Caenorhabditis elegans: one gene and its partners. The protein of the gene in region 2 interacts with the protein of the main gene of each other region in a pairwise test. Each region holds a gene or a part of one and is shown on either strand. Other genes may lie near its edges.

Region 1 (7,945 bases), on a different chromosome or scaffold from region 2:
TCATATTTCACACTGAAAACTCTAAATAAAATCAATTTTCTTTCAGTTTTCCTCTAATTTCTGTTCTAAATTATAAAAATTATCGATTTTTGCATTAAAAAACCGGAAAATCAATAATTTGGCAATTTTGAACCGAGAAAAAGTTGAAAATTTGCCTATTTTACACTGAAAACTCTAAAAAAGATTCAATTTTCTTTCAGTTTTCCCGAATTTCTGCTCTAAAAACTAAAAATTATCGATTTTTGCAGTATAACATCTAGAAAATCAACAATTTGACAATTTTAAACTGAAAAAAAGTAAAAATTCGGCCTTTTTTATTTGAAAACTCAAAAAAATCTTATTTATTCCTCTAAAAACCAAAAATTATTGATTTTTGCTATAAAACACTCGGAAAATCAACAATTTGACAATTTTTAATAGAGAAAAAATTAAAAATTTGCTTATTTTACACTGAAAACTCTAAAAAAGAATATGTTTTCTTTCAGTTTTCCCGAATTTCTGCTCTAAAAACTAAAAATTATCGATTTTTGTAAAAAAATCTCAATTTGACAGTAAAAACTCATATTTCACACTGAAAACTCCAAAAAAACTCAATTTTCTTTCAGTTTTCCCTTACAAAAAGCACAATTTGGGTTGTATCTACAACGTCATTGATCGCCTTCCTTCCATACATTATCGAAAAGGAACGAAGTGATTTGGAAAAGACTCAAGTGGCTCAGCAACGTCAAATGCTTCTCGGACCATCTGCGGCCATTCAACAAGCCAAAACTGCTTGAAAAACTTGATTTTCTCGCCGAAAATCCCCCTTAAAACCGTCTGAAATTGATCTTTTCCTAGATTTTCCCCTGTTTTTCGTCTTCTGATAGCTTTTTTTGCGATAGAATTCATTATCATATAAATTGTTGATTTTCTAACATTTTTCAAGGATTTTTCTAGCACAATATCCCGGTTTTTTCATCCAAAACTTGTATTTTTATCGATTTTTTTGACGTTTTTCACTTTTTCCAGGTAAAAATCCGAATTTTAAGCTTTAAAAAGCCTTAAAAAACACAAAAATTGCAAATTTTCGCGCTGAAAGTCGCATAAAATTGAATTTTTATAATTTCTGTTCGAAAAATCTTCAATTTTTCGCTGAAAAATTTTTTCCCTGGCAAAAATTCAAATTTTGGGTCTGCTAGGCTACAAACTACAAATTTCGATTTAGCAGACCCGATTTAGAAGAAAAAACGAAGAGTTTTCAGTCTAAAAAGCTTGAAAAATAGCCTTAAAACTTGATTTTTTCGCTTTTTTATTGAAAAAAAACAAAATTTATCATTTTTATCCCAGAAAATCGCTGAAAACCCCGAATTTCGCCTATTTTCTTCGTTTTCACCCAATTTTCTTCAAATTTTCGCAATTTTCAGCTCATTTCCATTATCTAAATTTTTTGCAGCACTGTATTCGGGTTATTTCATCCAAAATGCGTATTTTTATCTTTTTTTCTTGTAGTTTTTCACTTTTTTTCAGGCAAAAATATATGAGACATCGAATTTTAAGCTTTAAAAATGCTTAAAAACACAAAAATCGTCAATTTTTGCACTAAAAGTCCCAAAAACTTCAATTTTTCTAATTTTTATTCGAAAAATGTTCAATTTCTCGCTGAAAAATTGCTTTAAAAAAATTTAATTCTGAAAATTTTTGGTCTGCTAGACTACAAACTACAAATTTCGATTTAGCAGACCAATGTGATTTTTAAGAAGAAATTACGAGTTTTCACTTCGAAAAGCTTGAAAAATGGTCTTGAAACTTGATTTTTCCTGTTTTTTAATCTAAAAAATTAAAAATTTAGCATTTTCAGCTCGGAAAATCGCTGAAAACCCCGAATTTTTGCTATTTTTCCTTGTTTTCACCTTATTTTCTTCAAATTTTCGCAATTTTCAGCCCGTGTCCACCGTCTAAAAGCTCCCAAAATGGATCCAAAACCCATAAACGAAGGAATGTTACTGGAGGATCATGATCATGGAATGCCTGAAGAAGAAGAAATAACAGAAGATGATATGAATGGAATTCATAATATAGAAGAGGATACACGAACAATTAGTGAAATAGCAATGGAGCTTCATCATCCGAATAAAAGTCAAGTTTTACTTGATCAGGAACGATTTTTGCCAATTGGTATGGGAAAACATGCGGAAATTTTGATGAAAATCGATAAATTCCCGGAATTTTACACGAAAAATTGAAATTTCTTGAAAAATCTAGACTGAAAAGTGAAAAAATTCATAAATTTCCGATAAAAACCGCCATTTTTTCTAAAATTGCCCTTTAAAATGAAAAAATATCACATGGGTCTGCTAAATCGAAAATTGTAGTTTGTAGTCTAGCAGACCAATTTTGTTCAAAATCACTTTGGTCTGCTAAATCGAATTTTGTAGTTTGTAGTCTAGCAGACCAAACTTCTTCAATATCTATTGGTCTGCTAAATCTAAACTTGTAGTTTGTAGTCTAGCAGACCAATTTTGTTCAGAACAACAATGGTCTGCTAAATCGAATATTGTAGTTTGTAGTCTAGCAGACCAATTTTTTACAATTTTTTTTTCAAAAACATAAATTTTCGACAAAAATCGATTTTTTTTGTAATTTTTTTTTCAAGAATTGAAAGTTTCTCTGCAAAAAGGCATCAAGCTCGAGATTTTTCAATTTTTTTAAAACAAAAATCGTTGAAAATTCTCCAAAAATCCCAATTTTTTCAGCTAACGTGGTCCGAATCATGAAAACTCAAATGGATCCGCAGGCGAAATTGGCAAAAGACGCAAAGGAGTGTGCTCAAGAGTGTGTTTCAGAGTTTATAAGCTTTATCGCTTCGGAAGCCGCTGAAATATGCAATATTACGAAGCGGAAGACTATTACTGCAGGTAAAACCGGGAAACTCCGTCTAAAATTACCCGCAAATCGTCCAAAAACTACAATTTTCGCATGGAAAACCTTTTTAAAAACTCAAAAACAGCCCAAAAGCCCAAAAAACCCTAAAAACCGCAATTTTCAATATAAAAAAATTTCCAGACGACCTGCTCACCGCGATGGAAGCCACAGGATTCGACAATTACGCGGAGCCAATGCGAATTTTCCTTCAAAAGTACCGTCAGGCTCACAAGATCACTGGACCAATTCACAGAACACACCCAGACTACGTACGGCCTCCACAATTTCAAATGGATCCTTTTGTTCGGCCATTATTCTTCGATACGGAGCAAGGACGCAGATGTTCGTGTGTGAAAATCGGAAAATTTTGCCTGAAAATAGATTAAATTGATGGAAAAATAGAAAAAAAAACTGGAAATTTGACTGGAAATGGATTAAATTTATGGAAAAAATAGTAAAAAACTAGAAATTTCACAGAAAATAGACTAAATTAGTGGAAAAAAATAGAAAAAACGAAATTTGACAGAAAATAGACTAAATTTATGGAAAAAATAGTAAAAAACTAGAAATTTGACAGAAAATAGACTAAATTTATGGAAAAAAATAGAAAAAACGAAATTTGACAGAAAATAGACTAAATTTATGGAAAAAATAATAAAAAACTAGAAATTTCACAGAAAATAGACTAAATTTATGGAAAAAATAATAAAAAACTAGAAATTTCACAGAAAATAGACTAAATTTATGGAAAAAATAGAAAAAACCGGAAACTTGAAATTTAGACTAAGAATTGTTTTTTTTTCAAAGATTGAAGTACTGAGAATGATGATTTTTCATTTAAAAAAATTGTCAAAACTCTGAATTTTTTGCTGAAAAATATTCAGAAGCCGAAATAATAGTAAAAAAACGGTGAAAATTGCATTTTTTCCACATAAATCTCAAAAATTCATTTTTCAGTTTTTTTCAACTACAGTATCCTTTGAAGTCATAGAAAAAATTACAAGATTCGCAGAAAACTCGAAAAAATCATAATTTTAACGCTAAAAACTTAAAATTCAGAATTTTTGGCTTTTAATTTCGGCTTCTGAGTATTTTTCAGCAAAAAATTTAGAGTTTTGACACATTTTTAATGAAAATTATCATTCTCAGTGCTTCAAGCTTTGAAAAATTAATGGGAAGAATAGTAAAAACCTGAACAAAAATGGTTTTCTCTGGAAAAATTCCTAAAAATTTTTTTCAGAGCTTGAAGCACTGAGAATGATGATTTTCCTTTAAAAATTTGTCAAAATTCTAAATTTTTTGCTGAAAGTTGCACAAATTCTTAATTTTGAATTTTTAGCGTTAAATATATGATTTTTTCGAGTTTTCTACGAATCTTGCAACTTGTTCTATGACTTTCAAGGATACTATAGTTAAAAAAAAACTAATAATGCATTTTTAAGATTTATATGGAAAAATTGCAATTCTCACCGTTTTTTTCCCAAAATTTTGAATTTTTCGCGAAACTCAGCAGCTTTGCATAGTAGTTTCAAGCGACTTTTTTTCGGAAAAATACCGAAACTTGCTCTGAAAATGCCATATAACTCCTATAAGGATTACTGTAGTTTCTCTACAAAAATAAATTTCTGTGACTCATGTCCTTCTATCCAAATTGATGGCTGGAATATCGGTATTCTCGGCTGAAACATGCAATAAATACCGTATTCCAACCAACAATTTGTGCAATAGAGCACATTTGTCACCGGAGATGCGGAAGCTATGCCCAAATTTTCAATTTTTCTAGGAAAATGATGAAAAAAATTGCAATTTTCCAGGTACCGAGACTCAATACGTGATAAATGGCAGTGAAATTGTGAAAAATGCTCCATTGGGAGAAGAATGGAATGAGCAAACTGGTACATTGAATACCCGCGCAGATGGATATTATATGGAGGTGAAAATTGGATTTTCTGGATGGAAAACTGTGGAAAAATGGATTTTTCCACTAAAAACCTGAATTTTTAACTCAAAAATTGATTTTTTTAACTCAAAAATTGAATTTTTAATTCAAAAATTGAATTTTTAATTCAAAAATTGAATTTTTAACTCAAAAATTGAATTTTTAATTCAAAAATTGAATTTTTAACTCAAAAATTGAATTTTTAACTCAAAAATTGATTTTTTAACTCAAAAATTGATTTTTTAACTCAAAAAATTCGATTTTTCAGGAGCCAATGGAGCCGATGCCGATGGAAGAAGTAGAAATTGAAGAACACGAGGAAATTATTGAGCAAGATTCACTTGGAGCCATCGCCTTGGAGCAACAAGGCCAAATGCAGATTTATGTGGATCCAAAGACGAAACAACATTTTGCAGCGAAAGAAAGTACGGAATTTTTTATGAAATTCTGAATTTTCCAGCGTGAAAATTGGAAAAATTGAGAAAAATCGATTTTTTTTTGTGAAAATTCCGGAAAAATCGAAGTTTCGCCGATTTTGTGGCGTTTCCAGAAAATTTCTCATTTTTTTCCTTAAAAATTAGAAAAATTAGATTTTTACAGCACAAAAAAAACAGAAAATTGAAATTTTCTTGATTTCCAGCTCAAAAATTGGAAAAAATGGTTTAAAACCGATTTTGAACGGAAAAAATCTAGGAAAATCGATTTTTTTTTTGGTGAAAACTTCAGAAAAAATCGAAATTTCGTCAACTTTTGTGGATTTTACTGAAAATTCCCTATGTTTGCCGTAAAGATTAGAAAAAATTGGTCCAGATTTGATTTTTACAGCAGAAAACTAGAAAATTCAAATTTTTTTTGATTTTTAGCATAAAAACTCGAAAAAATTGGTTTTAATTTGATTTTCTACCTGAAAAATCCGAGAAAATCGATATTTTCCCGATTTTTATATTAAAATTTGTGAAAATTGACATTTTCTCGATTTTTCTGAAAACAATTGTGAATTTTCTCGATTTTCTGTCAAATATCTAAGAAAATGTTTTTAAATAATTCCGGAAAAGCAAATTTCAGCTCCGAATGGCATGGAACTCTACCCTCTGATCATCCAGGACACCCCACTGCAATTGGAAAATGTTTCTGGGCCAAATGTACGATTTCCAGCACTTTTCACAGCGAATTTCAGATTTTTAGTGCGAAATTCGAATTCAGCGCCTCAATTTACCCCCAGAACCCTGTTTCCCCGTCTTCTAGCTCAACATTTTGAATATTTCGGGTTACTGTAGCCCCAAGAGTACGCAAACACCGACTACTGTAACCCAAAGCACCAGATTTTACGGCATTGGCGAATTTCGAGCTGAAAATTGATTTGACGGGGTAAATTGGAGTGCTGAATTCAAAAATCGTATTTAAAATTTCAGAAAATTTGATTTGAAAATCGGAAATTTTGAAATTTTCAGACAAATTTTTTTTTGGGCAAAAACCTTGTAATTTTGAAATTTTAATGCGAAATTCGAATTCAGCGCCAAAAATTACCTTCATTTTCCTTTTCCCCGTGCTTCTAGCTCAAAGTTTGAATATTTTGGGTTACTGTAGCCCCAAGAGTACGCAAATACCGACTACAGTACCCCAAAACACCAGATTTTACGAAATTTGCGAATGTTGAGCTGAAAATTGATTTCCCGGGGTAAAATTGGAGTGCTGAATTCGAAAATCGTATTGAAAATTTCAGAAATTTTGATTAAAAAATTTTTTTTGTTCGAAATTTAATATTTTTTCAGCAATTCGTTATGAATATGCCAGATGGACGAGCAATACCCCACGGAATGGGACAAGAAGAGCCTCAGCCAGTGTCAAGTAGCTCAGTTATGCGGAAAATCGGTAAAATATTGCATTTTTTAGTGATTTTCTGTTCAAAAATGCTGAAAAATGGAGATTTTACTGGTTTTAATGGGAAAAAATCAAGTTTTTAGCATTTTTGAGCCATTTTAATCGGGAAAAAAGTGATTTTGAAGCATTTTAACCCCAATTTTCCAGTTTTATAAAATGAATTTTCCGATTAAATAAGTGTTTTCATGTATTTTCAGCTAATTTTTAGTCTTTTTTAATCGAAAAAACTGATTTTCAGCCAATTTTTCTTTTAAAAAAAGTGATTTTAGGCATTTTTGGCCTATTTTTACCTATTTTGCATATGTTTTTTTCAGAAAAATGAAATTTTTGCACATTTTCAGTCAATTTTCCCGATTTTCAGGTCAAAATCCGTCTTCCTATGCCCAGCAGCACCACCACGTCAGCCACGTGGAACAACACGATGACGTGGAATATGAAGAAGAAGAAGAAGTAGATCAAGTAGAGGAGGATACAGTACCCGTTCCAATCGCGCCGAGACCCGCAGCCACCCGAGTTCAGCCGAAACGAACGCCGACGAAGAGGAAAAAGTAGAGAAAATTGCAAAAAATGATAATTTCTCGATTTTTATTGTATTTTTCGCATTTTTTCACCCTGAAATCCCAACTTTTTGAGGAATTTTTAAAATTTTGCACTGAAAATCACCATTTTTACCGAATTTTTTATTGGATTTTTTCTCATTTTCCCTCAAAACTGAATCTGAAAACTGCAATTTTTGCAAAAATTCAATTTTCCAAAATTTTCCATTTTTCATTGATCTCCATCGTATCCATTTCCTTGACAACTTAACATATACAATTGTAATTATTTTTGAAATATTTATTCATTTATTTATTTATATCTCTAATTTATTGCAAAAAAATAAATTCAATTATACCCCAATGCCTCAGTTTTCACTTAACCACCAAAAAAATTCGTTTCAAATCGATTTTTCAATTTTTCCACACTTTTCCCATTGAATTTCAAATTTTCAATGCGAAATTCGAATTCAGCGCCTCAAATTACCCCTATTTCCTTTTTCTCCCGGCTTCCAGCTCTAATTTTAAGAAAATTGGGGTACTGTAGCTCCAGGAGTACGCAAACACTGACTACAGTACCCCAAAACGCCTGATTTTACGACACTTGCGAATTTTGAGCTGAAAATTGATTTGACGGAGTAAAATGGGGTGCTGAATTCTAAAATCGTATTAAAAATTTCTGAAAATT
Region 2 (5,200 bases):
CATTGCTTTAGATTTTCTCAATAGCTCCTATTTTTCAATATTTTGGCAATTTGCGAAAGCTTACGAAAAATATAAACATTTTTGGAGTGTTTTATTATGATTTTTCGTCGTTTTGGATCATTATAAGTGTCCTTTAAGTCGTTTCGAGACCGAGTACCGTATTCTCGCAAAAGATTCTAGTAATTTCCTTAATGGGCAGAACCTAAATTTTTTTTTTCAGAACTGGTGAGACGAAGCCAGTGGATCGTGTACACTTCTCCCTTCCAAACCACGGAGAGGATCGTCATTTCCCTGATGATTTCCACTACTCGTTCGAAGTTGACGGCAAGATTCATCACGCAGATGTTCATATCAAGGAAGCCGTCTCATTCAAAATGGGATTGGATCAAGCATGTCAGGTCACCGAAGGAATGAGCGAATTCGTTGTCGACGGAAAGCCGGGATGGGGATTCGCGGAAGTCGAGTATCGTATTCAGCCGTATTAAAAAATTATCAAATTCAGATTTTCTACCTTTTCCACTTACTTTATAAAACCGTTTCATATGCTACTAACAAATGTGGGGTCAACGTGCAGAACAGAGCAACAGTAAAATGTACAAAAAATAATAAAACACTGGGAGGGGATAACAAGTTCCGAAGAACTAAAAACATGAGACAACAAAACATTTAGAACGAGAAAACAAAAACAAAAGAACAGAGATTGTAGCAGCTACGTAGCAGAAGTTGAAGCCCTTTTGTCAACCTCATCCAGTAGATAGTTCACCGTTTCTTGGACACTTTTGTCAATTGGAGTCTGTAAAACCAAATATTTCAAGTTTTCAAATTGTTCAGTTCTCTTACCCGAACAATATACTTTGTGCACGATTTGAAGCGAAGATATAGTCCCTTGCGAGGAGACTGCACCTCCAGAGGCTTCTCCTTTCTCGGGCGGCCTCTTTTGCGAACAAGGCTTGCCGTCGTGTCCTTCTTCGGCTGAACTTGCTCTATTTCGGGCTGCTTCTTCTTCATCACCGGAATCACTGCAGTCCTGGGAAGCGAGTAGGGAGTTTTGAGAGTTGGTGGACGAAGAATCCTCGGAGTTGTGATATTTGACCAGCGGAGAACGGTATTCTTGGGTGGTGGTTGATCTTGCAGATTTTGGGAAGACGTGGATGCTGTTGTGAAGTTTGTGAGTGGATGATGTCTTTTCTCATCTTCATCATTCTTCTTTTTCTCCACTGCAGTTTCTACTGGTTGCGTAGTGGGTGGTCTTCCAACCGGTCTTGCTGCTGAGGAAGAAGGACCATCAGAACCTTCCCTATTACGAGCCATCGATGCCTGATTAACTGAGTAGAACTGAGTGAGTACATGTGGAGCTCGCATGGTCTGCCCACAAAACTTCTCGGATCCGAAAGAAGACTTCAGGGAGGTCAGTTCGTTTCTCTGAAAAAAGTTAGATTAAATCTTCTTTGTTCTTTGAAACTTACCGAAACACCAACACGATCAGCACACTTTGGAATGATAGACATATTGGCAATCTCAATACATCTACGAACCGTCGCACTGCAAAATCCGGTCATCTGAGCCGACACCTCGTCCGGTTTCTGCCAAACAGTTCCAGCAGCTCGATCGCCGAGTCGTTTCGCGTATTCTCGATTCCAAATTGCTGTTCTAGCTACCATGACGCGTGTCTGATCGCAAAGATGAGCACGGATGGCAATAACGGTAGAATCGTCGACGAATCGGAAGGAGCTCATATCCACAGGCTTTTGAATTTCGGCGCAACGATAACATCTTCCATTGACTCCTTTGACGAAGGCGGGGGCCTGAATTTTGAAAATTGTTCGTTGTAGGTCTCGCCACAAATAATTTGATTTTGTAAAGTACTAGCCAGTGGCAAAATTTTAGGAAGAACTACGGTCGCACCACGAACAATTATCTCCAATCATCCCGGCGCAAAAATGTAAGCGCCTTTTAGAACTACAGTAACCCTTCTCCTCTTCTTTTCAATGTCGCTGAACTTTCTTATTTTTCGCCAAGATTTTTTTAATTTATTGAGAGAAACTGGAGTTGGGTTACTGTAGTTCTTCAAAAAATTTACCATTTTGTGCAACCATTAGATGAAAATATTTTTTGCTTATGATGAAAACAGGGAATGAAATAATATAATTATTGGATGAAAAACACTAGTAATTGCTGAAAAGTTTTTTTGTTAATGATAATGCAGGAAAATTCGAAATATTGAAGTTCCACTTTAGGGTTTTCCAAAAATATATAATTTACCGCCATATTCGAGTAGAACGTCATAGGAGTTTTATGATTATATGCAGGAATTTGGACACTTTTTGGAGCCACGGTACTGTTTTTGGCTTTTGGACGGAAGTTATTCGCTTGTCTGATCACGGCGTTTTTCGTCATCTCCAGAGCTACTTTTTTACGTTCCATTATCGATTTGGAGAGTGGAAGGATTGGAATTGCGCTCGCCGAAATTTTGGTTCGTAGAAGCTGTGATGGATTGATTTCCTCCAATCTGGAAAATTTGCTTTTTAGCAGGACTTATTAAACAAATTGTCATTATTTTGGAAGTCAAGGTTTTCAAAAACCCGAAATTCAACTTACTCAATTCGTTTTCCGACTCTTTCCGTATGTTCACTTCCAAGCGTTGCGTCTTCCTCGAGAATTTTCCCTTCACTTGGTTCGCTTACAGACTCCCGAGTACTTCCACTTTGTCGCTCGAGAATTGGCGGCGGTGTGACAGCTCGCTGGTACCGAGATCGCAGAAATTCCTCCTCATCAGAATCATAACTGTTTCGGAAGATATCTGAAGAGAAAATGAGCTTTAAAAAATCAAATTTTCATGGAAAATACCTCTTTTGGTTCGATTCGACTCAAATCTGGATATCAGAGATCGCTGTGGTGGAAGATCTGGTGGGCGTGTAGGGTCGGCCATAATTTTAATTCTGAAGACGGGTGATTGTTTTGTTTAATAAAAAACTTTTTAAAAACTAACGCTTCCTCCTCTTCGTCGAATCCAACAACGTCCACATCCTCATCAGAGTCTGTAAGCACTATTGGCTTAGATACAACAGGATTCGGATTTTTTGGAGAATTTTGTGCCTTTTCGAGTGTTACTTGTTGGTTATTAACAACTAACGGGGACTTCGACTTGTCTGTATTCTGAGAACGAATGACGTAGACTTCTGAAAACAATATTTTTATTTAACAGAGGACCATTTGCAAACAAACTTCTTCGTGGCAAATTTGGATCCGTAGCTTTTTTAACTGGCTTTGGTGGAGGTGGGAGACAGGAATCTCCGAATGAAGCCCATCCAATATGAGCTTTAGGTTCATAATTACTAGAAGATGCCGGTGGTGAATCAGTTTCGTCGTCGTCGTCGACTATCAGAAGATCATCGACGCTCAACGTTTTCTGGGATGTGGAAGGTTCATCATCTTTAGCAGTTTGCGGTTTTGGATCAACTTTTGGAAACTTGACCGCTGCTCGTTCTTCTTCATTCATAAAAGCAAATGACATTGGGGATATTGGTGGAAAAGCTGCGGGTGCAGGCTCTGTCGTCATGGAATTGTCTAGATTGGCAACAATGGGTTCAGAAGACATCCTGGAAACAAAAAATATGGAGATAAAATTTTTAAATTTAAATTTAAACTGTTTTTATTTACCAGAAAACTAGAAAATCCCAATGAGAAAGAAGGGAAATTAATAGAAAAATAAAGTTTTAAAAATACCTAAATTTTCTACAGTACCCGAGGTCTCGCGAAGATTTTGGTCCGCAGTACGCAAACACTCTTATGCTTGTTTACCGTAACCACTGAAATATTTTTTCGTTGTTTTTCTTTATTTAAAAAAAGTTATCTATTTTTCGAAATTTATTGAAAATTTCACATTTCAAAACCGTCAATAATTCTTTTAAAATTCATTTTTCGCAATATGGATTTTCTTCAAATGTTAAACCAGAGTTTTCTTGTAATTCCTTGAACAAATCACATTTTTAAATCACATAACCATTTTCGTTTCTGGAAATCTTCACTTTGAAGTTGAATTCTTGTTAGATTATATTTGTTTAACTCTGAAAAATAGTTAAAATGTGTGTTTTTATATGTTTTGTTTCAGATTTCCCCTGCTTTGTTTTCCTTTCCTAGACTAAGTTTTTAAATTTCGATCAATCCTTTTTCTTCATTTTACCCTCTCAAAACCATTTATTTACTCACTTGAGAGACGCAGAGAAACCATCGATGGCCTAGATGTCTCGTCTCGCCTCCTTCTCGGCCACGCGCGCCTATCTATCGATGTTTTTCTGCCTGTTCGCTCCGTTTTCTTTTTCGAATCTTGACCGCTTCGCATGCCTGTTCCGTTGCGGTTTCTGAAGCGTTTCGGTTGCGTCGCGGTTCCCGGCTCCGCCCTACTACCCGTTCGAGTCTCCCACGGTCTGTAGCACGTCTATCACCTATGTGAATGAGTGTGTACGATCATCTTCTTGCCAATCGGGTTATTGGGTTCAATGGATCGTAGATTGATATGAAACTCGAATTCGGGAAGGAATCGCCACGCAACGCAGCTAGAAATGCTTGAGAAACTTGCGAGAATTTGAGAAGAAAATAAATTTCAGAATTATTATTAAAAATTTCCAATGAGCGACCGACGGCGGCACGGAACAGAGGATTATCAAATCGCCGGTCTCAAGCATTCAATGACAAGTAAATCGATATTCATAGATTCAGAATTTCCAATAATTTTTCCAGGTGTCGCCTCAAGCTCCCACGGTGGTGCTGGAGACCTCCAACAACAATTTTCCAGGGAAGATCCACCCGTAAAAACTACGCAATACACACTTGTAAGCTGGAAAACGTTTAAAATTCAAAATTTTCAAATTTTCAGCTTCAACTAATCAATATGGTTCGAGAAAATCCGATTCTCTACGATGAGGAGATGCAAGCCGCCACGCCGGATGCTCAGTTGAAGGTTCAGAAACGAGAAGCATGGGATCGGATACGTGCTGATATAGTTTGGCAGGACATCACTCTTGTTCAGGAAGTCTGGTCGGATCTTCTCGATCAATATGCTAGAAAATCGATTGATATGTCCGATGGACTAATTGAGGCAATGCGATGGACAGATTCATTGATTTTTAAGAAGAAATGTAAGAGTTTCTTGCAAAGAAATACACCAAAATCATTTATATTTTCAGCAGACTCTCGACCT
Region 3 (7,804 bases), on a different chromosome or scaffold from region 2:
TTCTCATTCATGAATTGAGGAATTTCCACTGAATCACATTCTACCGTCATCTCATTCCGCTCGTCTTCTATTACCGTAATCCTTCAGTTTTATTTCCAATTTCTGCGCGAAATGGCATTGTTTCAGTAGGAGGTGACAAGCCCGAAATGGGATGACACTAGACCAAGGACAACCTCACCGGAAGAAAAAATAACAATCACTGAACTCGTAGATATAGTTGACACACAAGAAATGACAAGTTCAAAATGAGAAAATCATTTCACTTTTACTCTAGTTGTATACGTGACACTTTTGATTTCATATCGAATGAGTTTGTCCTTCTATCCAGCTGATTCTGTTCGGTTGGATGTGGTTTGTATTATATTGAAAACATGCCCAAAGTCAAACAGGTGAAGAGCAGAACTTTTTGCTCGAAACCTGATTGAAACTGTGTTTATTTGTTCCATTGACGGCTCTTTGAATTAAAATTTTGAATTGGTGGTGTCTAAAGATTTCATTTGGTCGAGGCGTCAAGGGGCGCCTCTGATCCGTCGATTCACTGGTATTTATCAAGAGATTGCTTCTGTGGGTTAAATAAGTTTTGGTTGTATTTTACCGGACTAGCTATTCTTTTTTCAATGTGCTGAAAAACAATTTGAATACAGAATTACAGAGCTTGCGAAGTTTTGAACTGAGAAAAATCCTTCTAATTTAGGATATTTGTTCCTAAAATAACATGTAATACAAAAAAGTAAAAATCATTGTAGTTGTATGACCCCGATGAAAACAAATGGAAAGTTTCAAAGTAGCGAATTAAATCTTAGCGCACTCAATTATACAACTTTAACAGCTCAGAAAGTGTTCAATTAAAAATTCAATTGAAATTAAAAGAAACATTTTAAAGCTTCCGATTTCGGAACGATAATCAAACTTTTTGAATTTAAAATGTATGTATAAAAATATTGTATTAATTTGAAAATAACCCCAATCTTTTTTGCGAAGATTGAAAAGAATCTGAAAAACTGGCTGAATGTTGACTGCCTAAAAAAATATCACAAACAATTTTTATGGAAAATGGCAAATTTAAGGAAAAGTTTGACGATTTTTCTGAAATTTTTAATAAAATTGACTTGGTTTTCATATGAACCAAATATTTTTCTAGATTTCCACATTTGAAAAGTTGCGTTATTGTACCAAAGTGGGCCGTTTTGTAGATTGGTACAAAATTAATATATACGGTATCCCATTTTAGACAATCGTTCTTCTGGTAAAAAATTCCAGAAAAAATCCGAAAAAAATTAAACGTAATTTGCAAAACTTGATCGTAGAATAATGTCACTATCAAAACAAAAATTACTAAAAACCACCCCTTGAAGTTATAAAAACTACCCTATTAGACTTGCACCCCTTTTGATCTACTTTAAAAGCTTATATTTTTGCTGTCTTTAGTTTTTATCAAAATTGTAAACTGATAAAATACTTGGAAAATATTTTTCTTTATTTCTCATGTTGACTATTTTTGATATAACTGAAGATAACAGAGATATAAGGTGTGAAAGAAAACGTAGTGCAATACAGAAAATACGGTGAATGAAAAATATTTGAACTATCATGAGCATTTAAACCAAAAGCGATCCCTATTCTCTCGTTCTTCTTATTTTTCTTCTAGGCTTCAACATTCGTAATTTCCTCTCTCTCTTTCCCTCAATAGCTCTCATTCTTCAGGCTTTCTCTCTCTCTCTCTCTCTCTTGTGTCAATAACTCCGCCCATCAACCAGCCAGCCTCCTGGTGCCCCAACCACCGTAACCTTCGTGGTCGTTCTTCTTCTTCTTCTCCTCCTCCTTTTACTCCCTTCTCAATGCATTCTTCTTCTTCGTTCATCATCACCTCACTGGAAGAAGAGGAGAAGAAGCCTCCTGCTCATCATCTTCATCAGCAGTCAATTGAAGACGTCGGCAGTGTCACCTCATCTGCCACGTTGCTGCTTCTCGACTCTGCCACGTGGATGATGCCATCGTCAACGACTCAGCCGCACATCTCTGAAATTAGTGGAAATGAGTGTGCCGCGTGTGCACAGCCTATTCTTGACAGGTATCGGTCCCTCACCTTTTTTTGCAATTTATGATTATTTTCCGTTTAGTCTCATTCCAATTTTCATCTCTAGCTGCTGTAACACCACCTCTCTCGCCCCTAATTGAATTTTTCCATTTTCGATTCATTTCCCCCTCTCAACCCCTTCGACAGCAGCAGCACTAGCAGTCATTTCATTTTCAGCCGACACTTTCACTTACTTTCAGATATGTATTCACTGTGCTCGGAAAATGCTGGCATCAGTCTTGTCTTCGATGTTGTGACTGTCGAGCGCCCATGTCAATGACTTGTTTTAGTAGAGATGGTCTTATTCTGTGTAAAACTGATTTTTCAAGGTAAGTTCCGAGCAACATTAATTTCTAAGAACTGTGATCTATAAAGAGCCGGGCTGCAAGTTTTGAGCTCTTGGAGATAGTTCAAAAACATCTTACAATTAGGTTGTGATGAATTTTCCATTGAATTTTCCAGTGTGCAAACTTTAAAAGTTCTAACTGAACGCTGAAGTTTTGAAGCTGAAAACCTCTAAGATTCTTCAACAGTGACAATTTCAAAATTCCAAATTTTTAGTCAAAAGTTTATGTAAAAATATATAAAACATGATCAATTTGAAAACTACGTTTATTTTCATTGAAAAATAAAAAAAAGTCCTGAAATCTGGTATGAAATTGTAATAACTATTTTCTGGTAGATGTCAATTTTCAGTAAGTCTCTCAGATTTTTTTCAGTCTTTTGCAACATATTTTTCATATTGAAAAATTGGTTTTTTTCATGCCAATTCAAATAATCGTACTGCGAATCGTCACCCACTCCTGGATATATTGTAGTTCCAAAACTTTGCCAAAAAGGGCTAGGAGAATATATTCAAGCAAATGACGGCATAAAATTTAAAGATTCCGCAATTCCAAAATCCTCCCAAAACATGTTCTAAAGTTTTGAAGATCATATTCCAAAATTCTCAAATTTCTTATGCTTTCAAGCTCACTTGTAGTAAACAAATCTTACTTGCTTATTTTGATTTTCAAATTTCAAATTCTATATCTAAATTTTCCCACGGTTCCCACGGTGTCCATAATTATTTTACCTACCTGATTGTGATTTTCAGGCGATATAGTCAACGGTGTGCCGGATGCGATGGGAAATTGGAAAAAGAGGATCTGGTGAGACGAGCAAGAGATAAAGTTTTTCATATTCGATGTTTTCAATGCTCCGTTTGTCAAAGGTTATTGGACACTGGTGACCAGGTGAGCCAGGCTAAGCCTCTTCTCTATATAAGATTGATTGTACTTTTGATCTTATATATTAATCCAGGCTGGTACCTTAATTGAACTAAAGTTTCAAATAAGTTTTATATTATTTAAGGCTGACGGTAAGTGATATTTGACGTTTTAACTGGCAGTTCTTTTTAAGCTTGTCTCCACCATTATCAAGGTTTTTCTATAAGTTGAGCGGTGACTCAGATGAAATTAGATATTCATAGTCGCTATTTTCTCACGTCTAACTTATACTGATAAGCCCATTTGCAAATAAGATACGCAGATCCCTAAAAATCACATGCTCACACCTCTTGAATGTGTCCCCATCATGAGCCCCTGTCAGTTGCACCTGCCTCTTACCGAGAGCTCTCTACCACTCAAGCTTCACGCCTTCTTGTCATTCAAAATGTTTTGTTTTCTTGAATAGAAGATGTCACTGAATGTCATTGATGCTGTTCTGAGTATTGTTTTGACTCATGTAGATGAAACAGATAGTTGATTAAAATTTTGATCATAAACATTATAGGGAACATCAAAAACTATTTCTGTCTAGAGGCGCGCTGAATATCTAAAAACCCTCTCAACTTCCATACTGTTTGTTTTGGTATAATAATTCTACTTTTTAAAAAAGAAAAATTAATGTAGAAATATAGAAAAAAATATTCGATTGACTTCAAAATAATGAATAAATATTTTAAATGGAACGTTTGAAAAATACTTCAAGTACTGTTTCGGAAGTTATCAAAACTACTGTTAAAGTTTTTCAGATTTTTTGAACTTTTCCAAAAAAAAAACACTTTATTTCAGATCAATCAAATATTTTAATTTTTTTAAAATTTGTTTTATTTGAAAAATTTGGTTGTCGTTGTATAGTTGCCGGAAGTATTTGCCGGACACCATACTTTAAACATTTCTCATTATCAGTTGAAAAACAATACGTTAAAACAATTTTCCAAGAATACTAGGATTTTGGAGCAACCGTTCAAAATGTCTCGAGGCGCATATTATCTTCTCATTGCTCATTGCTTCTGCTTATATTAATTTCAAATCAGTTAAACTACCCACTGACCAACCGGTAGATCTTATCTCAATGCCATTTTCCTTCCATTTTCCATCCTGTCTTCCTGCTTCAAAACCTTCCCCAATTCCCTTTGGGATGTGTCCTGTTGTCACTCTACAATCATCTTCTTTCCATCCGTCTCTAACCTATTATACTTTATAATTGCATTACACGGGGGACCTAGTCAAGGTTTGAGACAGCTCCAACTGTCATGAAAATATGCGAGGGGTTCCCACGATTGTTTTTGTTTTTTTTTCGCGGAATTTTTAGTGTTATTTTGCAGCTTTATATCATGGAAGGCAATCGATTCGTGTGTCAAAGTGATTTTCAAACAGCAACCAAAACATCAACGCCCACATCGATTCATAGGCCCGGTAAGGTTTTTAAAAATAAAGAAAGGGAAAGAGAAAGAGACGAAGAATTGAGTTTTAAAGATAATACAAAAGTTGTTCAAAGTTATGGTAGAAGGTGGAGTTTTCATAAAATTGTTGACTGCTGAGGCGTCCAAGGCCTACTCCAATAATTGAATGAAGGCAGATAGGCTAGAGGCAGACAAGTGAGCCTGAACACATGCCTACCTACCATGAAATTCTTTATCTCTGAAGTAACACCGCCAGACATAATTTTCAGTAGATACCCAAAAAGTCAAAAAAGAATTCCCAGATTTCAAGTCATAAAATCCTTAGAAATTTCTTCTTCTTCTCATAAAACCAGAGACATACGTTCTAATCCATGCTTCCGTTTCAAACGTATTTAAGATGAGCCAGCGAGCCATGTGTTGTTTGAATAGTTTTACGATGATAGGTATCTCTGCACAAAAGAGGAAGAGACAGACAGCTGTCAACACAGAAAACATTTCTTTGTATTCGAATTACCGCAAAATAGTAAGGAAGGGGGGATAATCTCGTTGCGGAATGGACATACACTGGTATTAGACAGATGATGTTCTTTTGTTACAGTATCCAATGGATCCGAATGCAATTCCGATGTGGAGGAGGATAATGTGGATGCTTGTGATGAGGTGGGTCTGAAATATATACTTCTCTGGAATTGCCATTTAGGATCAGTTTTTACTTTTTTTTAAAATAGAAAGTTCTAGTAGTGGCTAAAAAGTTTGCTGTAAACGAATCTTTAAAAAATACAAATATTTTTCTAATCAGTTTAATAAAGAAGCATACTTCCCTACTTTTGACAGCTGGTATCATTTGAAATGATTGCAAAAATGGCTCAACACTAAAAATATTGAAAAGATTTAACCTATAACTTACAAGTCAAAATGTTTTGTTAGAACCAAAGTGAATCTAATCTAACTTATTAAAATTTCAGGTCGGACTCGATGATGGAGAAGGCGATTGTGGGAAGGACAATTCAGATGACTCGAATTCTGCGAAAAGGCGTGGCCCTCGAACGACAATTAAAGCAAAACAAGTGAGTTTTCTGAAGTAGAAAAAATTATCTATGTCGGAAAGGAAAGTGCAAACATAATTATTGAAATAACTTTTTGAAAAAATAATTAAATTTCTAAATCCAGGTCAGTGTAACAAATATTTTGTCAGTTGACAATTTTTTGGTAAAACATAGTCTGATCAAGATTTGTGCTGCCAAAGTTGGGCAAAACTGACAGAGGATATCAGATTTTAAAATTCTAATTAATGTTTGATAAAGAATCCAGCGTTTCCTGCTGAAAATCTTGAATTTCCCCACTTAAAAAATATCTTATTACTGTCCAAAGCTTCAATAAATATTTTCAGCTTGAAACCTTAAAAAACGCGTTCGCCGCAACACCCAAACCAACTCGACATATCCGTGAACAACTTGCCGCCGAGACAGGACTCAACATGAGAGTCATTCAGGTTTCTATTCTTCTTCTTTTTTTCTTTTTTTGCACATGTCTAAGTATCCTCGAAATGCACTATCTCTCACAAATTCTCATTTCCCGCTTTAATTCACCTGCCCCGCCCTTCTCTCTCTTGGGGGAGGACACATCCTTCCACACGCACACACACAAATTCAATTACCGTAGTCCTTGAAAGGAGAGAGAGGGAAAAACGGAAAGAAGAAAAAGAGAAAAAAGTGAGTGGATACTGTAGTTTCTAACTAATATCATGTTATTTACTGTAAGAAAGATGTACACATCACATGATTTTTATGTAACAATAGAAATAATAATGATCATAATCATAATAACTGATAACAGGAAACTTAACGGAAAGCCATAGGAAATTGGTTGTGTTTAGAGAGCTATACGAAAATGATGATGAAAGAGAAAATGGGAAACAATTTCAATTTGGAAGATAAAAATCTGAGTGGTCAAGGGAGAGAATTGCAATGAGAAATTTGAGTTGAACTCAGAAAATTCGTTTTTTTGTTCAAATTTTTGAACCCTGAATATTCGGAATTCCAAAATTAATTGTAGTCTTAATTTTTTGTGTGAAATATTTTTAGCCTACTTCCACCGATCAATTAAATTTTAATTCTGTTTATCTGCACAGTTGCCCCATAATAGTAAACTTAAAAAACTGCTAACACATAACTTTTAGTGTTTTGATTCGAAAATTTGGAAATAACTGAACTAAAAAAGGGTTCGCTCTCTATATTGATTTTTTTCAAAAATTTAATCTTCGTGTACAGTGTTTTAGTTCACTTTTAAACTTCTAAATGAAAAAGTAGTCAACTACAGAGGACCATTCGGAACTGAAAAAACTCGATCTGAATAGAACTTTTTTTCATAAAAACATATGATTGAAAAAAAAATTCGACTATTTTTTCTTTTTTTTCTTGGATTTCTGGACTTGGGAAAATAATCCGGGCGTTTTCGAAAATTTTTCAATCGTTCAAAACAATCTGAAATTTTAAAAATTGAATTTGGGTGATAAAAGATTCAGTAATTTTTTTCAAAAAATTCAAAGTTTCCAAAATCTTTAAGAATCTTCCATAAATCTACTTTTGGTAAAATTCCGAGAATGAAAATGAACAATTTCAGATCGGCTTTTTCAAGTTCAAAATGCTCTTCTACAGATAACATAATTTTTCTGTGGGGCTCACTCAAAATATATTTTTCCAAATGACACAGGGTTTACCTTTAATAGATAATTTTCTCCATTAATTTGTTTTCCAAATAAATTTCCATTTTACAGGTGTGGTTTCAAAACCGCCGAAGCAAGGAACGAAGAATGAAACAACTTCGTTTTGGAGGATATCGTCAATCCCGAAGACCACGCCGTGACGATATTGTAGATATGTTCCCGAATGGTGAGTCCACTTAATCGCTTCTTCTCGTTCTCAAATATTACGCAACACCAATTATCACGGTAGCGTGAAAAACAGATGAAAACACGAGGGTAGGGCGTTAGAAGCAGGTGTTCCAATGGCAAAAAGTCGATTTTCTGCACAATATGTACTAGGTTAAGCTGGATTAAA
Region 4 (7,849 bases), on a different chromosome or scaffold from region 2:
TTACTTGAGTATGCTGAATTGTACGGCGGAAAACTGGAAGTTCCGGAAGCTTTTCACTTGGCAAGACAAATGATCGATTTGCTTCACACAATACATGATAGGGGGATCGTTCACTGTGATATAAAACCAGCAAATTTTGCATTTGGTCTCAATGAAAAAAAGAATCAGCTTAATGTATGTTACTTCTACCTTAAATGTTTTGTGAACTCATGATTATTTGAACAATTTGACACATATAGTCAATATAACTATACCTTTAGCTCATCGACTTTGGATTAGCAGAATCGTTTCTTGATGATAGAGGAAATCACCGAGAGGTACATAATCGCCATTATCGAAAAGGAACTTATGTTTACATGAGTGCCAATCAGCACCATGAACAATGTTTTGGTAAGAGTTTTTTGTTTGCTTTTGTATCAGCACTTCTGATTGAGAATTCAGCTTTTTCAAAAAAAATTCTATTAACAATACCAAGACGAAAGGTTAAACCAAATATTTTTTGTTCGAACTATCTAATTACAGGAAATACCCGAAGAGATGACATGGAGTCCTTGGTTTATTCTTTGAGGAAAATACTTGACCTCACTATGTGCTGGAAAGAAGGACGGAGTGTGAACAATGATGATACTCATAGAAACTATTTCAACTTGAAACAAGGCAATCAAAAAAGTTGTTCACTTTGTGGAATACAGCCGATTAACGATATGCTTCAATCGTGCCGCATGCTCGAATTCAAAGATGAACCCAATTATGAAGCAGTGAAGCAGCTGTTTGTCTTGGATAAAGCTATGTCAAAAGCGTTGAAAAATAAGTTAGTTTAATATGTTTTTAAAGATAAAAAAATCAGATTTCATCAAAAAATTTAAAATTGCATGTAAATAAAATTTTCACTGCCATTTTCAGAAAGCATGTTCCACCAAAAGCTACATTCGACATTTCTTTGGACGAGGATCAACAGGTTTCAATTTGATTTAATTTCGAAAAACAATGATAATTTTATATTTTAGAAGTTGATCGACAAATTCAATATCTACTTCAACGAAGAAGACTATGATGCAATGTGAAACTTCTTTAACCACCTCCTTTGCAGTTTAACAATTGTCAGTTAATCTAGAATAAATTTTTTAAACATGTTTTATAAATGTTACTAATGAAAACAATTATGGGTTTTTAAAGTACATACTTTGTGTAGTCTTGGGTGTCAAAATATTAATCTCCCTACAACTTTCTAAATTTTGCCATAAAAGTTTTTTATGGAGCACATCTGTTGCATTATCTGTTGCTAAATTTACTTATCTTGCACTTTGAGGATTTTTTTAAAATTAATGAGTAATAATGGCAATCACAACTTAAACCAAATGTCAATTGTACTCGAAACGTGTGAACGTGAGTTTTCTTTTTTTGTAGACTTTTCTATTTGTGAAAGGAGGGCGCCCAATTTAATTAGTACCACATTTAGGATGCAAAAATTGTAAATTTAAAGAAGGTTTGTAGAAAAATACGTAAGATTTTTGAATCTTGTCACTCAAATTACACATACAAGTTTATCATCCTCACCACATAGCCCTATTTAAGTTCTGCTAAATTTATTGGGTTGATTCTTCGACAATTGCCCAACATTGTCGATCACCAACAAACAATGCAAATACGCTCCAACTCACACCGATAGGGAGAGGGGTGTGAATGCGCGCGAAACAGCAAGTGAACGGTCTCTCCGTTTACCACACTCTCTTACCTCGTTTTGTCATCTAACGCGCTCTCTCGCCACTCGCCTTGCGCGTCAGCCGGCCAGTTATTCTTTCCTTCTTTTCACATCGTTTTTTTTCATATTTCAAGCTATTTTTTGTCAATTTTCAACTTATTCAGTTTAGAAATGCCTCGCCGAAACTCAACAAAAAGTGCTGCACAACCGTCCGAAGAAACGCCAGCCGGAGAAGAGGTAAAACTGTTTAGGCTTTGAAAATTTCCGCAATTTTTAGTCTGTAGACACCGATAATGACGCCATTGAAAAATTCTCTCTCAATTTAAAGTTGCGAAGCATTATGAGAGAATTGTGAAAACAAAAAAAAACAGATGAAGCTAAAAATGCAACACAAAATAAAATTCAGAAACCTCTGCCGATGTGTCCTGAGGAATCTGCAAAGGACACCACTGTACAATCGTCCAGACCACGGCGAAATATTCGCAAAAACACTCTATACGACAACGAGAACTATGAGCTTGTGAATTCAGCGCCTGCTGCACCTCCCGAACGGACTCCATCAGTTTCAAGAACTCCAAATAGGACCAGTGCTGTTTCAGAGGTATCTACTGGAACCGATAAAAACTCAACTGCTATGATGCCTGATATGCTGAAAGGAGCGAAAAGAAGAAAGATTCCTCCTCATGTTGCTGAAATGATGGAGACACCAGTTGCACATAGGGCGAACTCAAATCAAGTGAGAAACACAGAAAACCTTTGTTCTTAAATAATCCTTTTTTCTTAATTACAGACTCCAAAATTCGATGATCAGTTGATGACTGATGGAGCCAACCTGGAAGTTGCAATGGAATTTGAGGTTCCTCACAATGACGAAGGACCTCCAGTGCTCGGGCCATCTACTGTTTTTGAAACTGAACCTGAAAGTTACAGGGAAAGCGACGAAGACTATAGTGTTAATGACTTTGCTCACCCTCCAGATCTTGAAAGGCACCCGTACGTAAATCCATTATGTAATGACAAAACTTTAATTTTTTTTACAGATTGAGCAAGCGAAGAGGACGTCCACGTCGACCACAAGAGCAGCTGGAGACCAATGTTAAATTGAAACTGACCCGTCCAGCTTCAAAAGCTCAGCGAGCCCCACCAACTGAGCCAGTTGCTGCTAGAACCGCCACTGCTAATCAAAGGCATATTAAGCTATTTGAGGAAGAGTTGGATACAACCCCCGGCGGAGAGTCCTATGCAACCGTGGTGAATGGGTGCCTGACTGAGCTGCTGAGAAAGGAGCGGATTATTGATCTCCTCACAAACCCGGACGAAATTGAGTTGATGTAAGTGAAAAATGACAACTGTTGCAATGCGATATCAATAATCTAAGCACATTATAAATTTTCAGAAAGCAAGCAGGATGGTTTCTTCCAAGACCACCACGTCTTCCTCCACTTGTCACCGACAAAGTATGCTTCGCATTCTACGTGGATGGTAGTCAGCAGAAAAATGCTAAAGATCTCTCCAACGATGACCTCCGTCCGTGGAGTGTGACAAATGATCATCAGAACACGACTGGCGGCCCAAACACAATCAAGCCAAATGTTCGAAGACACCCGGTGGCTCGACTCAATGGCGAGCTGAAGACAGTCAAGCATGAGACACGTCTCGCTGAGTATCACTTAACGGAGTACAGCGCTAGATTACCTCGGGAGCAGAGACTGAGAAAAAAGGTAGCTAAACTGAAGATATTTGAACACAACATTGATTTTCTTTCCAGATTTTCTACCTGACCCGTGACAATCAAATCTTTGGAAATGTGCTTATTCTGTATGATTATGTGAATCCAGGAAATGCCCCAATCCCAGTATGCCTTCCTCATGGCAATGATCATCTGCGAAGAGCAGTCACAGATGATCAAGATGGATTTGACAATGATTTGCCGGTTTGTAATTATATAATTGGTTACCTCATTTATAATTTTATGCTTTCAGTTTGAGCCGCAACGCATAGAAGGAACCCGTGGAGCTGGAGTCTACCTCAGGTTGCGTCCGAACAAATTGGGATGGGCTCAGAACAAGAAAAACTTGCTGGATTATTTATTCAATAAAGTTGACATTCTGGATGAACTTGGCGCTCTAAACAATCGCCTCCCAGATCTTCCGCCACTGATTGAGACGGTCGGAGTCTTTGCATATTTTGTTCCGGCCTGTCATGTTGTCAACCAAATTCACCACGCTGCTGATGGCTTATCTCCATGGACCACTAATCGTGAGTTGCTGTTTGCGAAGCACCAATATGCGGTCGTTTAACCGTTTTAATTTTGATAAATTTCAGCAGGCGCTGGCGAAGGAACACCGACAGTGCGTGTGCGGTCAACAAAGAAGAACTTGATATTGGACGAAGCTCACAATCACTTTATGGTATCAAGAGACCAGAAAACTCCATCCGACTATATTCTCGTAGAGACAATGTCGACACTTGCCAGATGCAAAAGAGTGAGAAAGAGGGTAAGTTAACCAACAGTCCGCAAGTACCACGACGCACATTTGCGTACTTAAGTTTGCGTACTTAAATTTGCGTACTTAAATTTTGCGTCGTAAATCTACACCACACGCTGTGCAATATTTAACAAAATGAAAGGGCATACACCACCTGGGGTTGTTGCTGCTAAATTATCAGACCGTTGACGGAACTGAAATTATAGTGCAGTAGTCATAAATAATGTCATAAAAAATATTGTACATTGCAATTCTTCAATCATTTCAGGTTTTCTATATCCAACAAGCCGGCGCTGTTATTCATGGAAATGTCTGCTACACGTATGAGTTTGTTTACGACGGTCCGTTGCCAACCTTCTACCCACCATTGGACGCGAAGAGTTACAGTAGATGGTCAGGAGGATCACCACTGAAAAAGCCGGTCAATTCAATGGACATGCACTCTCACATGATGGTAGAGCAGGATTCATATGATATGATTCCTGTTGACGATGACGGAATCGTTGATGTCGTTGACGTTCACAAGGAAATGCTCGTTCAGCAGGAGGATGATCAGATGGAGAACCTTCTAACGTATCCCGATACGCTGAACAACGGATTTGATCCAGAATTCAATGATGATCCGATTGATAAAGCCGAGAATCCGAATGCATACTATGATGAGCCCCGTGTTTTGTCAACGGGTCACGTATACTTGACTGTTCGTCATAAAAAGTTGGTTACCGTCATGGATCATGTTCTCGAATGGATTGCAAATTCGAACATTGTGTAAGTTCTTGAAAATGTAATCAGTTTGATTTTCAACTATTTTCAAATATTTCAGTGAGGAGCGTGGTGTCCTGAACGACACGAAACCGTCTCACCCACCATTGGTCACCAACTCTAGGGCCTACGCCTTTTTTGTAGCCGGTACTGCCATATTCCCCCATGACATTAATCGCGACGACTTCTCACCATGGTCTCGCAACGGAACGCCTGATCAGCCGACCTGCTATCGTACAAAAGTTCGAAAGCTTGGAGTGATTTGCGATCCTCAAAATTCAACGTTTTTGGTATGGAATATTTACTGGCACTATTGTTTTAAACGTAAACTGTTTTTAAGCTGAAAGAAAATACCAACTACAAAACTTGTCCATTCCATCTCGTCTACTTGTATTCGATTAATCCAAAGGAGCCTAGACTGCGAAAAAAGGTGTTTTAAACAATGTTATTTGATTTTTATAAACTAATAATTTGGTTTTCAGATCTACTACCTGATGGAAACCCAATCAAAAATGGTTGTCAGTCATGCATTGATTATGTACGACTACAACCATGAAGGCAACATCCCACGTCTCAACGCTGGCCAATACAAGCCACTCACTAAGAGGAGTTACGCTAGAACCGTATGTTTCTAACATCATAAGATTTTGACTTAATAACAATACAATAATTACAGAATCATATGCAGCATGATTTGATGAATGATGTCTCGGAAGGCGAAGAGAGCAGAGATTGCCCATTCATATTGCCTGCAGAGACTGCTGCTGATGGGACGTTTTACCTACAGCTCGATGACTTGGAATTCTGGAATGACCGGAACCGACAGATTCAGTACTTGGTCAATCAATCTGATTTGGTGTAAGTTGATTGAAAGAAAAATAGAAAAGCTAAGCTTAAAAAAAGTAATTTCAGTGAACAACTCGGATGCCTCAACACAAAAGTTCCCGATCTTCCACCATCGATAACTGGAAAAGGAACATTTGTCTTTTTTGTGAACGGAGAAGAAGTCAACTTTAGATCATTGACCACAGATAAACTGACTCCGTGGTCAGAAAACACTTGCTCTAATCCTCGTAAGTCTTATGAATTTTTTACAAAAATTTTCATAGACGTGTTGAGTAACTTCCCGCAAGCTCCATTAGTTTCAGATGGAATAACCAAAAGGCCGAAATCATCAAAAACTCCGCTCGGATTCAATCGTCACAATCAACTGCGAGTCTGCAAGGGGAATGCTCTGGCCGTGGATCCGATTGAATTCCAGTTGCACATTTACACTGCAACATTGCCCCGCTGCACACGGCTTCGCAAAAAAGTTGTCTATGTGCAACGAGACGGAAACCAGTATGGACACGGTTTGATCATGTACAGCTACACTGAGCCCGGAGCTGTGCCACAGCCAATTCAGAAGACTATTCAACCTTCGACTGATGAATGGTTCAGCAGCCTTCCATCAAACATCAGAGAGGATGTGTTCCATTTGCTGAAAACTGCCCCAGTAAATGAAACAGCGAAGATAATTCATCAGGAACATGGAATTCATATTAGTCCAAATATGTTGTTCAGTCTCAAACGGCGAGAACTTTCTGGTTCTCATGCTGACAACGACACTTTTGTCACTGAATGGACCGGAGCTGATGGTGCAGGACCATCGACATCGGCTAAAACTGAGACTGTGGAAGAGGTGGTGATTGAAGAGCAAATTCCAAAAACAATCATGGGTCACGAAATGATGATTGGAGGAGACATGATTGTCGAGCACATTGAAGAAGTTGGAGACGTCTATGGGCAATCAATGATGAGAAGAAATCCATTTTTGGAGAAAAGCGTGGTTAGTGTTTGTATAATTGATTCGTTTTTTAAATTCTCAATTTTCAGACTACTGCTGGATTTGTTCGTGGATCTCAGCGATATGATGCTCTTTGGCGAATTGCGCAAAAACAGTTTGGTTCGGAGTGCATTGATGACACTTTTGACAGCTTGTTCCGACTATTATACGAAAAGAACGAGCAGCGCTTGCTCCAAATGATCAATGAGACATTCCACGTGGACATTTTCTCTGGCGACCAAGAGATTGTGGAGGAAGGTGTCGAATACATGCAAGAAGAACTTGTTGTGCATCCTGGTAATCATCTTGTCGGACACGAGGAACTGGGAAGACACGAGGAACACATTGAACATCCTGAAGTACAAGGCCATTTGGAACATGAAGTTATTGAAGCCCCAGAAGATCCTATGGTTTAAAATTATGATTAACTGGAACAGACATTGTTCGAAAAATCATATAACTGTAAATTAAATTGATCTTATAATATTGTTTTACCCTTTAAAATCCGTGTTATGTCATATCTATCTATTATTCCGTTTTACACCAAATGTTTTTTGCCACTATAGAATGACAAGGTGATCTTTTTTCTGTTCTCAGCAAATTGAAAATCAAACATAATACACTGACACAGATGAAGTTATAATAATGCATAGTAGTTTAAAAAAAGGTATTCGGCTGAATATCTGAATAACAACATTTTAATGTAAGGTGCAAAGCATGGATGTGCGGCAAATTTGCCAAACACGGTAAATTTCAAAAAAGTAGATTTGCCAAATTTTCCAAGCTCCGTAATTTTTTATGTTTGCCCCAGCTGCAAAGGAGCATACAACCCCCATGAAAACCAGTTATTGGTCTGTATTTTCACCCGAAACAGAAACATCTGAAAGGTAAAATTTGGTTAAGCAAATCCCTAATGTTTCAAGTCCGTTACTACAAACAACTCTGTGACCTAGATTCCAGGTTCTGTAAAAAATTTCAAACACGTCACTTTATGTGCAGGGTACTCACCGGTCTTCAATGATAGCCATTTATTTCAAAGAAATTGAAAAAAAGTCAAAAATTAAATCAAAT

What was found.
Region 1: the proteins of xnd-1 (region 2) and nfyb-1 interact in a two-hybrid assay, tested with the Caenorhabditis elegans proteins (one large-scale study listed by BioGRID).
Region 3: the proteins of xnd-1 (region 2) and lin-11 interact in a two-hybrid assay, tested with the Caenorhabditis elegans proteins (one large-scale study listed by BioGRID).
Region 4: the proteins of xnd-1 (region 2) and F16B12.6 interact in a two-hybrid assay, tested with the Caenorhabditis elegans proteins (one large-scale study listed by BioGRID).

Annotation. Positions count from the first base shown.
Region 1 is NC_003280.10:461,341-469,285, reverse strand, and holds nfyb-1 (Nuclear transcription factor Y subunit nfyb-1), read left to right. Parts: upstream 1-1,920; 5' UTR 1,921-1,949; coding exon 1,950-2,154; intron 2,155-2,380; exon of another isoform or gene 2,381-2,437; intron 2,438-2,732; coding exon 2,733-2,894; intron 2,895-3,042; coding exon 3,043-3,243; intron 3,244-4,715; coding exon 4,716-4,834; intron 4,835-5,108; coding exon 5,109-5,265; intron 5,266-5,905; coding exon 5,906-5,982; intron 5,983-6,612; coding exon 6,613-6,712; intron 6,713-7,082; coding exon 7,083-7,273; 3' UTR 7,274-7,619; downstream 7,620-7,945. Other genes in the region: tomm-22 (Mitochondrial import receptor subunit TOM22 homolog), read left to right, coding at 606-776.
Region 2 is NC_003281.10:5,602,859-5,608,058, reverse strand, and holds xnd-1 (X chromosome NonDisjunction factor), read right to left. Parts: upstream 3,600-5,200; 5' UTR 3,599-3,599; coding exon 3,226-3,598; intron 3,180-3,225; coding exon 2,990-3,179; intron 2,940-2,989; coding exon 2,848-2,939; intron 2,801-2,847; coding exon 2,599-2,800; intron 2,510-2,598; coding exon 2,263-2,509; intron 1,806-2,262; coding exon 1,467-1,805; intron 1,423-1,466; coding exon 841-1,422; intron 794-840; coding exon 710-793; 3' UTR 503-709; downstream 1-502. Other genes in the region: C05D2.8 (DUF7064 domain-containing protein), read left to right, coding at 221-485; madf-11 (MADF domain-containing protein), read left to right, coding at 4,629-4,695, 4,741-4,832, 4,877-5,138, 5,187-5,200.
Region 3 is NC_003279.8:10,246,501-10,254,304, forward strand, and holds the start of lin-11 (Protein lin-11), read left to right. Parts: upstream 1-1,791; 5' UTR 1,792-1,838; coding exon 1,839-2,071; intron 2,072-2,277; coding exon 2,278-2,406; intron 2,407-3,173; coding exon 3,174-3,312; intron 3,313-4,667; coding exon 4,668-4,758; intron 4,759-5,343; coding exon 5,344-5,405; intron 5,406-5,710; coding exon 5,711-5,812; intron 5,813-6,135; coding exon 6,136-6,237; intron 6,238-7,521; coding exon 7,522-7,636; intron 7,637-7,804. UniProt on the Caenorhabditis elegans protein: Probable transcription factor which is required for asymmetric division of vulval blast cells. Involved in olfactory plasticity probably by regulating the expression of transcription factor mbr-1 in RIF neurons.
Region 4 is NC_003284.9:14,100,486-14,108,334, forward strand, and holds F16B12.6 (DUF7747 domain-containing protein), read left to right. Parts: upstream 1-1,830; 5' UTR 1,831-1,873; coding exon 1,874-1,939; intron 1,940-2,108; coding exon 2,109-2,438; intron 2,439-2,492; coding exon 2,493-2,695; intron 2,696-2,742; coding exon 2,743-3,033; intron 3,034-3,098; coding exon 3,099-3,423; intron 3,424-3,470; coding exon 3,471-3,635; intron 3,636-3,684; coding exon 3,685-3,961; intron 3,962-4,027; coding exon 4,028-4,200; intron 4,201-4,459; coding exon 4,460-4,959; intron 4,960-5,014; coding exon 5,015-5,243; intron 5,244-5,293; coding exon 5,294-5,383; intron 5,384-5,435; coding exon 5,436-5,576; intron 5,577-5,629; coding exon 5,630-5,811; intron 5,812-5,865; coding exon 5,866-6,026; intron 6,027-6,101; coding exon 6,102-6,781; intron 6,782-6,828; coding exon 6,829-7,194; 3' UTR 7,195-7,428; downstream 7,429-7,849.